Canis lupus familiaris: one gene and its partner. The main gene of each other region encodes a partner of the protein of the gene in region 2 in a complex. Links are inferred from orthologs where the notes say so. Each region holds a gene or a part of one and is shown on either strand. Other genes may lie near its edges. The genes, in order: NAP1L1 and UBE2O.

What was found.
Region 1: the proteins of UBE2O (region 2) and NAP1L1 are in contact, whole or in part, in a cryo-EM structure (PDB 7UN6), measured with the Homo sapiens proteins. The link is inferred for Canis lupus familiaris from reciprocal best matches to the Homo sapiens genes UBE2O and NAP1L1. Residues at the interface, in NP_071349.3 of Homo sapiens: Ser225, Asn226, Val282, Lys283, Pro284, Val285, Lys289, Ser290, Lys291, Phe292, Arg293; in NP_001317160.1 of Homo sapiens: Arg333, Arg337, Thr343, Gly344, Glu345, Ala346, Ile347, Asp349.

Annotation. Positions count from the first base shown.
Region 1 is NC_049236.1:19,274,249-19,278,058, reverse strand, and holds part of NAP1L1 (nucleosome assembly protein 1-like 1), read left to right. Parts: intron 1-223; coding exon 224-352; intron 353-1,309; coding exon 1,310-1,381; intron 1,382-2,194; coding exon 2,195-2,334; intron 2,335-2,958; coding exon 2,959-3,104; intron 3,105-3,199; coding exon 3,200-3,219; intron 3,220-3,810. UniProt on the Homo sapiens protein: Histone chaperone that plays a role in the nuclear import of H2A-H2B and nucleosome assembly.
Region 2 is NC_049230.1:5,155,435-5,159,819, reverse strand, and holds the start of UBE2O ((E3-independent) E2 ubiquitin-conjugating enzyme), read right to left. Parts: upstream 3,059-4,385; coding exon 2,648-3,058; intron 1-2,647. UniProt on the Homo sapiens protein: E2/E3 hybrid ubiquitin-protein ligase that displays both E2 and E3 ligase activities and mediates monoubiquitination of target proteins. Negatively regulates TRAF6-mediated NF-kappa-B activation independently of its E2 activity.

The DNA of each region.
Region 1 (3,810 bases), on a different chromosome or scaffold from region 2:
GTTCTACGTTTTGGGAGGGTTATGGTAGTAGCAATAAGTAAGGTTTGGTATGGGTAACAGCAGTGTTTACACAGTTGGATTAGAACTTGTTTGAAAATTGCAGTTGGTGATTGAGGATTTGCTGGTTTCTGTACTTCATCACTGGATGTAAGTTAGGAGATGGTAAGATTTTATCAAGTGATCTAATCTAGTTATTCAATAATTTATGCTGTTATTTATCTAGGAGGAGCTAAAAGAAAAAGCCAAGATTGAAGATGAGAAAAAGGATGAAGAAAAAGAAGACCCCAAGGGAATTCCTGAATTCTGGTTGACTGTTTTTAAGAATGTTGACTTGCTCAGTGATATGGTTCAGGTAATTTTATTCATTAAAAACATCAGTTTACCTCAAAGGGTAAAAACCTTTGAAATTTAAATGGGTATGATGACTAGTCACTCCATTGTTGACCTCTACAGAATGATTGCTGTCTTTTGAAAACTGTTACCTGTAGAAGGAAAATTGCATCTTCGATTATTGTAATCAAATTATAGTTCATTTTCAAGTTAGATACTGAAATAGTCCCTTTGACAGTTGTTTATCATTGAGCAGTGTTTTGTTTAGTCTTGTGTCTTCTCTGTTTAGGTGCTTGGTATTAGAGAGTGGAGAGAGGAAACTTAAAATTTCATTTATCTTACCAAAAAGACCTTTTCAGTCTGAAACAAATATTGAGGAACATTTGCATTTTAAAGGAATAACATAAAGATCTTTAACTCCTTTAACTCCTTTACTCCTTGTCACTTTTTTTTGAAATCCAACACAGATGTCACCTTCTCAGGGAAATTTCACCTGTTGTAATCAGATGCATTTCTTGAGCCACTATTATCTGCATTATAGTACTTTTAGTGTACTTTAGTGATAGAAGTCAAGAAAAAGAAATCTCAAAACTGTGACTGCTTATTGCATTTCTACTTTGGCAAAGTACAGAAGGACCCAGCAGAATGAAAGGAATAAGAAGCAGCTGGAAAAGGAAATGTTTTTAAAGCAAATATGCCTTAGACTTGGTTTTATGTTCTTCAGCCCATTCGGTCTGATGATAGATATAATTCTCTGTTAAGTCACTTTTTTTCTACCATTGGCAGTAGAAATGAGTAGAGCTTATAAGTAAACTATAGCTTTGGTATAAAACCATAATCTGGAGAGTAGGTCTTACGGTTTGTAATTGTTACCTCACTATATAAATGTCTCAGTCACCTAAATGTTTATTGTCCAGTGGTAGCACACTAATCCTGAAGTGCTACGTTAGATTCTCATTTTAGTTTTCTTAATTTGCAGGAACACGACGAACCTATTCTGAAGCACTTGAAAGATATTAAAGTGAAGTTCTCAGATGCTGGCCAGCCTATGGTAAAAGAACTTTGAAATATTTTTAGTTTTTTAACATTAGACATTTATAGGTAGATATATGGAACTTTCTAAAAAGTGATATTCTAAGCCTAGAAATGGTGAGAAAGAAGTTGGTACTCTTAATTATTGTTAGGAAATAAATGTTTGGGTGTTGGTAATTATGATACAGTATTTATTCCTTTTCCTCCCTCTGAACATAAAACTGTTATTGAAATATAGTAAATCCTTGTGTCTAGATGAAGAATAGATAAAAATGATAGCAAGGAAAAAAATAATAGCACCCTGAATACCTACTCTGTCTTAAAAGGTGTGTGTCTGGAAATTACATGAAACAAAAGATGTTAGAGGCCCCCTACTTCCCCATGATGAAAGATCAGCTATGAGCTTCTCCTAAAATCATCAGTATTATGTGAAGTATGGGCAAAGCTACTACAGACTATAGATTCTTTCTTCTATCGTGTGTAGTAAAGTTGGGCTATTTCTCTGTCACATTTGGGGTAGGAGAAGATTTAAAGTCTTTGTAGGGATGAAAGGAGGAGGGAGTACTAGGTCAGTTTATTTCGTTCTAACCTATTTATAAAAATGCTACTAAATAGAAGTTGTAAGTTGAGCTAGGTTTTATTTAGTTTTATTTTGTGCTTTGTTTTGCTTTTTTGCCATAATTTGGGGTTTATCTGACCCATTCCCGGAGCAGAAAAGGCATTATCACCTACTTTATGTGGTTGTAAAAATCAATAGATTAAATTTCACTTAATAAAGCATGAACATTTATGATGCAGGAGTTTCATCAGTTTTTTTTTTTTTTTTTTTAAGAGTTTTGTCTTAGAATTTCACTTTGAACCCAATGAATATTTCACAAATGAAGTATTGACAAAGACCTATAGGATGAGATCAGAACCAGATGATTCTGATCCCTTTTCTTTTGATGGACCAGAAATTATGGGTTGTACAGGGTGAGTTTAATTTTACTACTTTCACAGAATATTCTATGTCTTATTGTTTTACTTACGATTTGTGATATTTAGTGTTTCCTAGTGTGTATTTGATACATAGTTTAAACATTTCAGAAAAGTGTTTCTTAGACAAGCATACCTACTTTCCTAGAACTCCTTGGCTTATGGTATTGCAGACATCTCTGCAAAGGAGAACACTTAAATTTACTCTATTGTGAATTTGTGCTACTTGTCAATAATTTTGTTGAGAAAATGTGTTTAGAAATAAAATTTTCCTCTTTATGTATTGCTATTGAAAGCATTTGAGCCAATTTCCCCCCCTAAAATTGGTAATACAAATAATATTTGGGGTGCTTGGGTGGCTCATTCAGTGAAGCGTCTCTTGGTTTTGGCTCAGGTCATGATCGCAGGGCTGTGAGATTGAGCCCCCGTGTCCCAGCCCAGAGTCTGCTGGAGACTTTGTCCCCCTTTGGTCCTCCCCTTGTTCATGTGCAAGAGTGCTCTCGCTCTCTAAAAAAGAAAATCTCAAAAAAATATATAACATTCGATTGGATAAATCTTAGCTCTTCCAGCAATTAAGTGTAGTATGTTAATTGTGATAGATTCTTCCCTTTGTTTTGCAAGGTGCCAGATAGATTGGAAAAAAGGAAAGAATGTCACTTTGAAAACCATTAAGAAGAAGCAGAAACACAAGGGACGTGGGACAGTTCGTACTGTGACCAAAACAGTTTCCAATGACTCTTTCTTTAATTTTTTTGCCCCACCTGAAGGTAAATAGTGTCTTAGTTTGGGTATTGATGGTTGTTTTATTGTAAGCTTTTTAAAAATTCCTTACTCATTTGAATTCCTTTTCTCAATTTTGCAGTTCCTGAGAGTGGAGATTTGGTAAGTTAAATCGTTATTTATTTGTTGAATTGTTCACTGTGAAATTTAAAGAACTGTTTCTCAGATGTGGGGAGTTGGATAGTTGCTACTCACCTGAGGCTTGCAGTGCATGAAGAAGACCTGTATCCATCTGAAATTATTTCATTCAAAATGCACGGAGTGCTTTCACTGAGAAATGCTGAAAGGCTAAAGACTTTTCTTTTGAGGCTTGTGGGGGCTTCAGGTTCTTAAGATGATAGTTTTCTTATTGAAACTCGGATGTATTAAGTCATTTGGACTATTTACTCCTAACCACATTCTGGTTAGAATCCTTTCTGTATTTGTTACTCCAGTGGAAACACGCTTTCATATTGTGGCCATGAATTATGTGACCCCATAGCCAAGAGCTTACTTATTAGTGCCTGTGTTACAGCCTGGAATGAGGAATAACCTCAAAGAAGTCTGTGCAGGCAAGGGTGTAAGCTAGGTATGTGTTTTGAATTTGCTTTTCTGTTGGGCAGATTTAAAAAAAAAAATCTTTATTCATGAGAGAGACACAGAGAGAGGCAGAGACACAAGCAGAGGGAGAAGCAGGCTCCATGCAGGGAGCCC
Region 2 (4,385 bases):
TTCCTCGCTCCTTATGAATTTGTTCATTAAAAACTTAAGAGACTAATATTAAGCCTTACTCATTGCCCAACAAATTAACCTGAAAACTACAAAAATACTTTACAGCCTACAGAACACTCTACATAAAAGAGTACTATTAAAACAATTCCAACATAAATAAGTAAATAAATAAATAAATAAAACAATTCCAATAGGTGGCAGATTTAAAAAGAAATATGTTTCTCAATACTGTCACCACATTATTCTATCAGTAATTAGGTCCTTAAATCTGATAACCAAATTAGTTATGGAGCAGGAATCAGAACCTAAGTGGTCAACTTTGGTCTAATGGTCTTTCCTTTACAGCACCCTGACACCTCCATGGATTTATAAGGGGTGAGAAATGAGAAGAAAAAAAAAAAAATCTTCCTACCACTTCCTAAAATGCAAGGTCCCGGGGCCCACCCTACCACCCTAGTCGGGGTCACCTGTGCCTAGGCTTCATGGTAACCTATAGCCACCTATCAGGCATACACACCTCCACATTCTCCAAACCTAGTCTTAATTCCTAAAAGAAGAACTGGGTCTTAACATCCTCAGGTGGATACTATGTGCCACCACTTCCTGGAGTTCCTATGCCCCTTAGCTTTTGATAAGCTCAGAAGCTACAGACACTACAGTGGGAAAGAAAACACCACCACCACCACTGGACTCACGATGGATTTCAACAAATTCAAAGCCAATCACAAGAGGGCAGCTTCAAAATATATCCAAGCTGGTACCTAAAAATTACTTTCAATTTAATTCTTAAATCGGTATTTTGAGTCAAACTTTGAATAATCACACACGGTGGGAGGAGGCAGACAGAGCATAATTGTAAATAAAGTTAACCACCAAAGTCAAGATGAACAGGAACAACCACTGATAAACATGGCAGCTCCCGGCAGCGAGCTTGGCCTGCCCGCCCGAGTCCCAGGGCAGGAGGCCATGACACAGTGAAATGAGTTGCATTCCAAAAGTCACAAACCTCTGGAGAAGATGGTTAGGGAATGACATTTCTCAAAAACCCACAGAAAGACATGAGCAACCATTTGTTAGTAAGGCAATGCAGAAACACTAGCAAAAATCTTCTCTTTCCCACACAACAACGCTGGTGGTAATTTTTAAACAAGCCTTCCGCTATAAAAAGTACTATTTTCCACATACTTTTGCACACGAACTTGTAATTTTCTTCCCGAGTCAGAGCAACTAATGCCTGATTCGCGTTTCTCTGAGGGGAAGCCAGGGGTCCTGGATGCGGATCTCCCTGTTCTGTGGGTGCAAACGCGCTGGCAAGGAGGAAGACCCTGCTCGTAACAACAGTCACTTGCCACCAGGAAGTGGATCACAGGCTCTTCCTGGGAGTGGGGCCTTTTCTCCTGCCAGAGCAGTGATCACAGACCCCCCTCTGTAGTATGGCAAGAAGCCCTCCCTATTCCTCTGTGGCCTTTGTCTCCCAGTGTATGAGAAACCCAGATTAACTTCTCAAGTGCCCTCCCCTGAAATCAGACCTGTCAACAGCCCAGGCCTGATTCCTGCTTAGAAATGTTTTCTTGAAGGGGAGAAGGAGGAGACGAAGAAGGGGTGAAAGATACAGGGGTGTGTGCGTGCATGTGTGAATCACTGATAGGAACTCACACTCAGGAAAACAAGACAGAAGCAGCAGCCGCCAAACCAACCTTGGTTCAAGGTTTCAGGTTTAAGACGATAAACCCCTTTGTCCTTAAAACTGTAATATTCACCAGCCTCACCCCAAGGGCCCATAAGGGGGTCTGATGTTTGCTTGACACCTCAGGTCAGGAAACAACCCTCGCTTTCCAAACGGGGTGGCTCTTCTCCATCCAGGCTTCTATAGTAATTTTTTTTTTTTTTTTCAAAAAGTCCAACTGCACTTGGGAGTCATCAATCCCAGTCGCAGCTGTCACATCCCCCCCACCCCGTACTATTAATATCACGGCTCTGATTGTTAATGATTTTACTCACAAAGTTCCCTGCAGCAATTAAGACGAGGCAACAAGGTTAAAAAAAAAAAAAAAGAAAGAAAAGGAGGTGCGGGGTCAGGTGGGGGGCGGGAAGGGGAAGAGGTTGGTTTTCTCCGGCCATAATAACGCATTCTGTCAACTAGGGAACTTCTTGGGTTTTTCTATGCCGCCGGAGAGGCTCATCTCGATCTTTGTTTTGGAACGCCCACAGCCCTTGCCCGTCCGGCCCCGGCACGGCCTGCCTTTCCGGATGCACAATGCAGTAGGCAGCAACTCGGGGGTCAGCGAAACGCCGCACTGGTGTGATCCGAGCGTGCCCCGGGGCCTCACGAGTTCTTCCCCCGCCCCCCCGCCCCGCTGTAGTGGGTCCCCGTAGAATGCTGAGGCCCAACCACCGCGCCGCAGGGCGTGGAAGTCCCTCCGCGCCGGGAAGCCCGCGGCCCGGCGGCCCGGCGGCCCGGCGGCCCGGGGCTGGTGCAATGACTTTGCACCGGAGCGTCCCCTCGGCGGAGGCTCGGCCCCGCGCCTCGGCCCACTGCAGCTGCACCACTCCGGCCAGCGCCTCGCGAGCCTCCCTCCCCGGCCTAGGGCTCCTGCGGCAGCCCGGGCCCCGCGCCGGCCCCCGCCCGCCCGCCCGCCCGCCGCACCTTGGTCTCCTTCACGTGCTGCTTGACGCCCTCCGGGTACCACTGGACGCGCACGTAGCCGCGGCGCAGCGGGCTGGCCCGGCCCTCCTCGTGGCCCGCGCCCCCCGCCTCGGAGCAGCCCGAGCTCCCGCGGCCCTCCTCCTCGCCCTCCGAGTCCGAGTCCTCGCCGTGGATGAGGCGCACCAGCCCGAAGTGCACCGAGCCGCGGTAACGGCCCGACACCAGGTCGTGAGAGAACAGCAGCCGCTGCGAGCCGGCTTCGGGGCCGGAGTCCGAGGACGGCCCGGAGGCCGAGTCCGGGGCGGGCGCCGGGGCGGGCGGCGGGGCGGGGGCCGCGTCCGGGGTCGGGGCCGCGTCCGGGGCCTGGGCGGGAGCCGGAGCTGCGGGCGCGGGCGCTGCGGGATCCGCCATAACTGCTCTGCGCGAGTCTCGGGCGGCGGCGGTGCTGGCGGCGGCGGTGGCGGCGGCGGCGGCGGCGGCGAACGCGGCACGGAGGGGCGGGGCCAGCCGGCGCGGGGGCGGGGCCACGGCGCGCTGACGTGGCCTGCGTGCCGCCGTCGTCAGGGAGCCGAGATGCGGTTGCTAGGAGCTCTCGCCTCGTCGCTAGGGGACGCTGGAGATGCCGCCGGGGGCGGGGGAAAAGGTGGGCTCCGCGACGGAGGGGCGGGGCCAGAGGGGGTGAAAGCAAGGGGAGCGGGGCCCCTGGGTGGGGACCCGGAGGAGGAAGTGCGGGGGGCACCTAGGCAAATCAACAACGTTTAACGAGCCTGCTAGGCGTCCCCAGCCCAGTCCTACGCGCTGGGAGGGGTCAGAAGGAGCAAGATGCCGGCCCTGTCCTCTAGGTGTTTACAGCCTAGTTGGGCAGACAAAACATATGCCTATTAAATAGCTAAAAAGCAACTCCAAGGCAGCTTGTAAGCAAGGCTACAAAAGATATGTATAGAGTGTATCTAGGAAATTTCTATGCAGAGCCTGGAAGGTCATGATCCCTCGGGGAGGGGTCAAGGGGTTGGTGAAGGAGGTACAGAGAGAGGTCAGAAAGATAAGCAAGCATTAGTGGCCTCTATGGTTTGGCTTTAAACCCACCTAGAGGGGCTCCCAGCTCCATGAGTTTTACTTAGTATGCATGGCAAGAGGTGGGACAGTGAGTGAGGAGTGGGAAGCTGGGTTCCAATTCTTTTTTTTTTTTTTTTTTAAGATTTTATTTATTCATGAGAGACAGAGAGAGAGAGGCAGAGACACAGGCAGAGGGAGAAGCAGGCTACATGCAGGGATTCGATCCTGGGTCTCCAGGATCACTTTCTGGGCTGCAGGCGGCACTAAACCACTGAGCCATCCGGGCTGCCCCTGGGTTCCAATTCTTGTTGCTGCCACTGACTAGTCTTACAAAAGTAGGGAAGCTGATAAACTTCTCTCCTCATCGGTAAAATCGGCGTGATAATAGCAGTACCCGGTTCACTGGGCAATTGGGAGGATTGAAGGAAACAGAACAGTGCCTGACATACAGTTCCCTCCATAAAGCTTAACCGTTCCTATAATACTTCTGCCCTCCTTTCCTAGACTAAAATTCTAGACAGACAGAACTGTTATACTTCGGGTTTGCTCCATATTGCCATTTTGAAATATAAAAAGTAATTATACTAATGTGTCCCTTAAGGAAGTTCCAAAAGATTTAGATACATTCTCAGAGGACAGATTCATAATGGGTTGTTAGAAGGAAATTAAGAATACTCAGGAT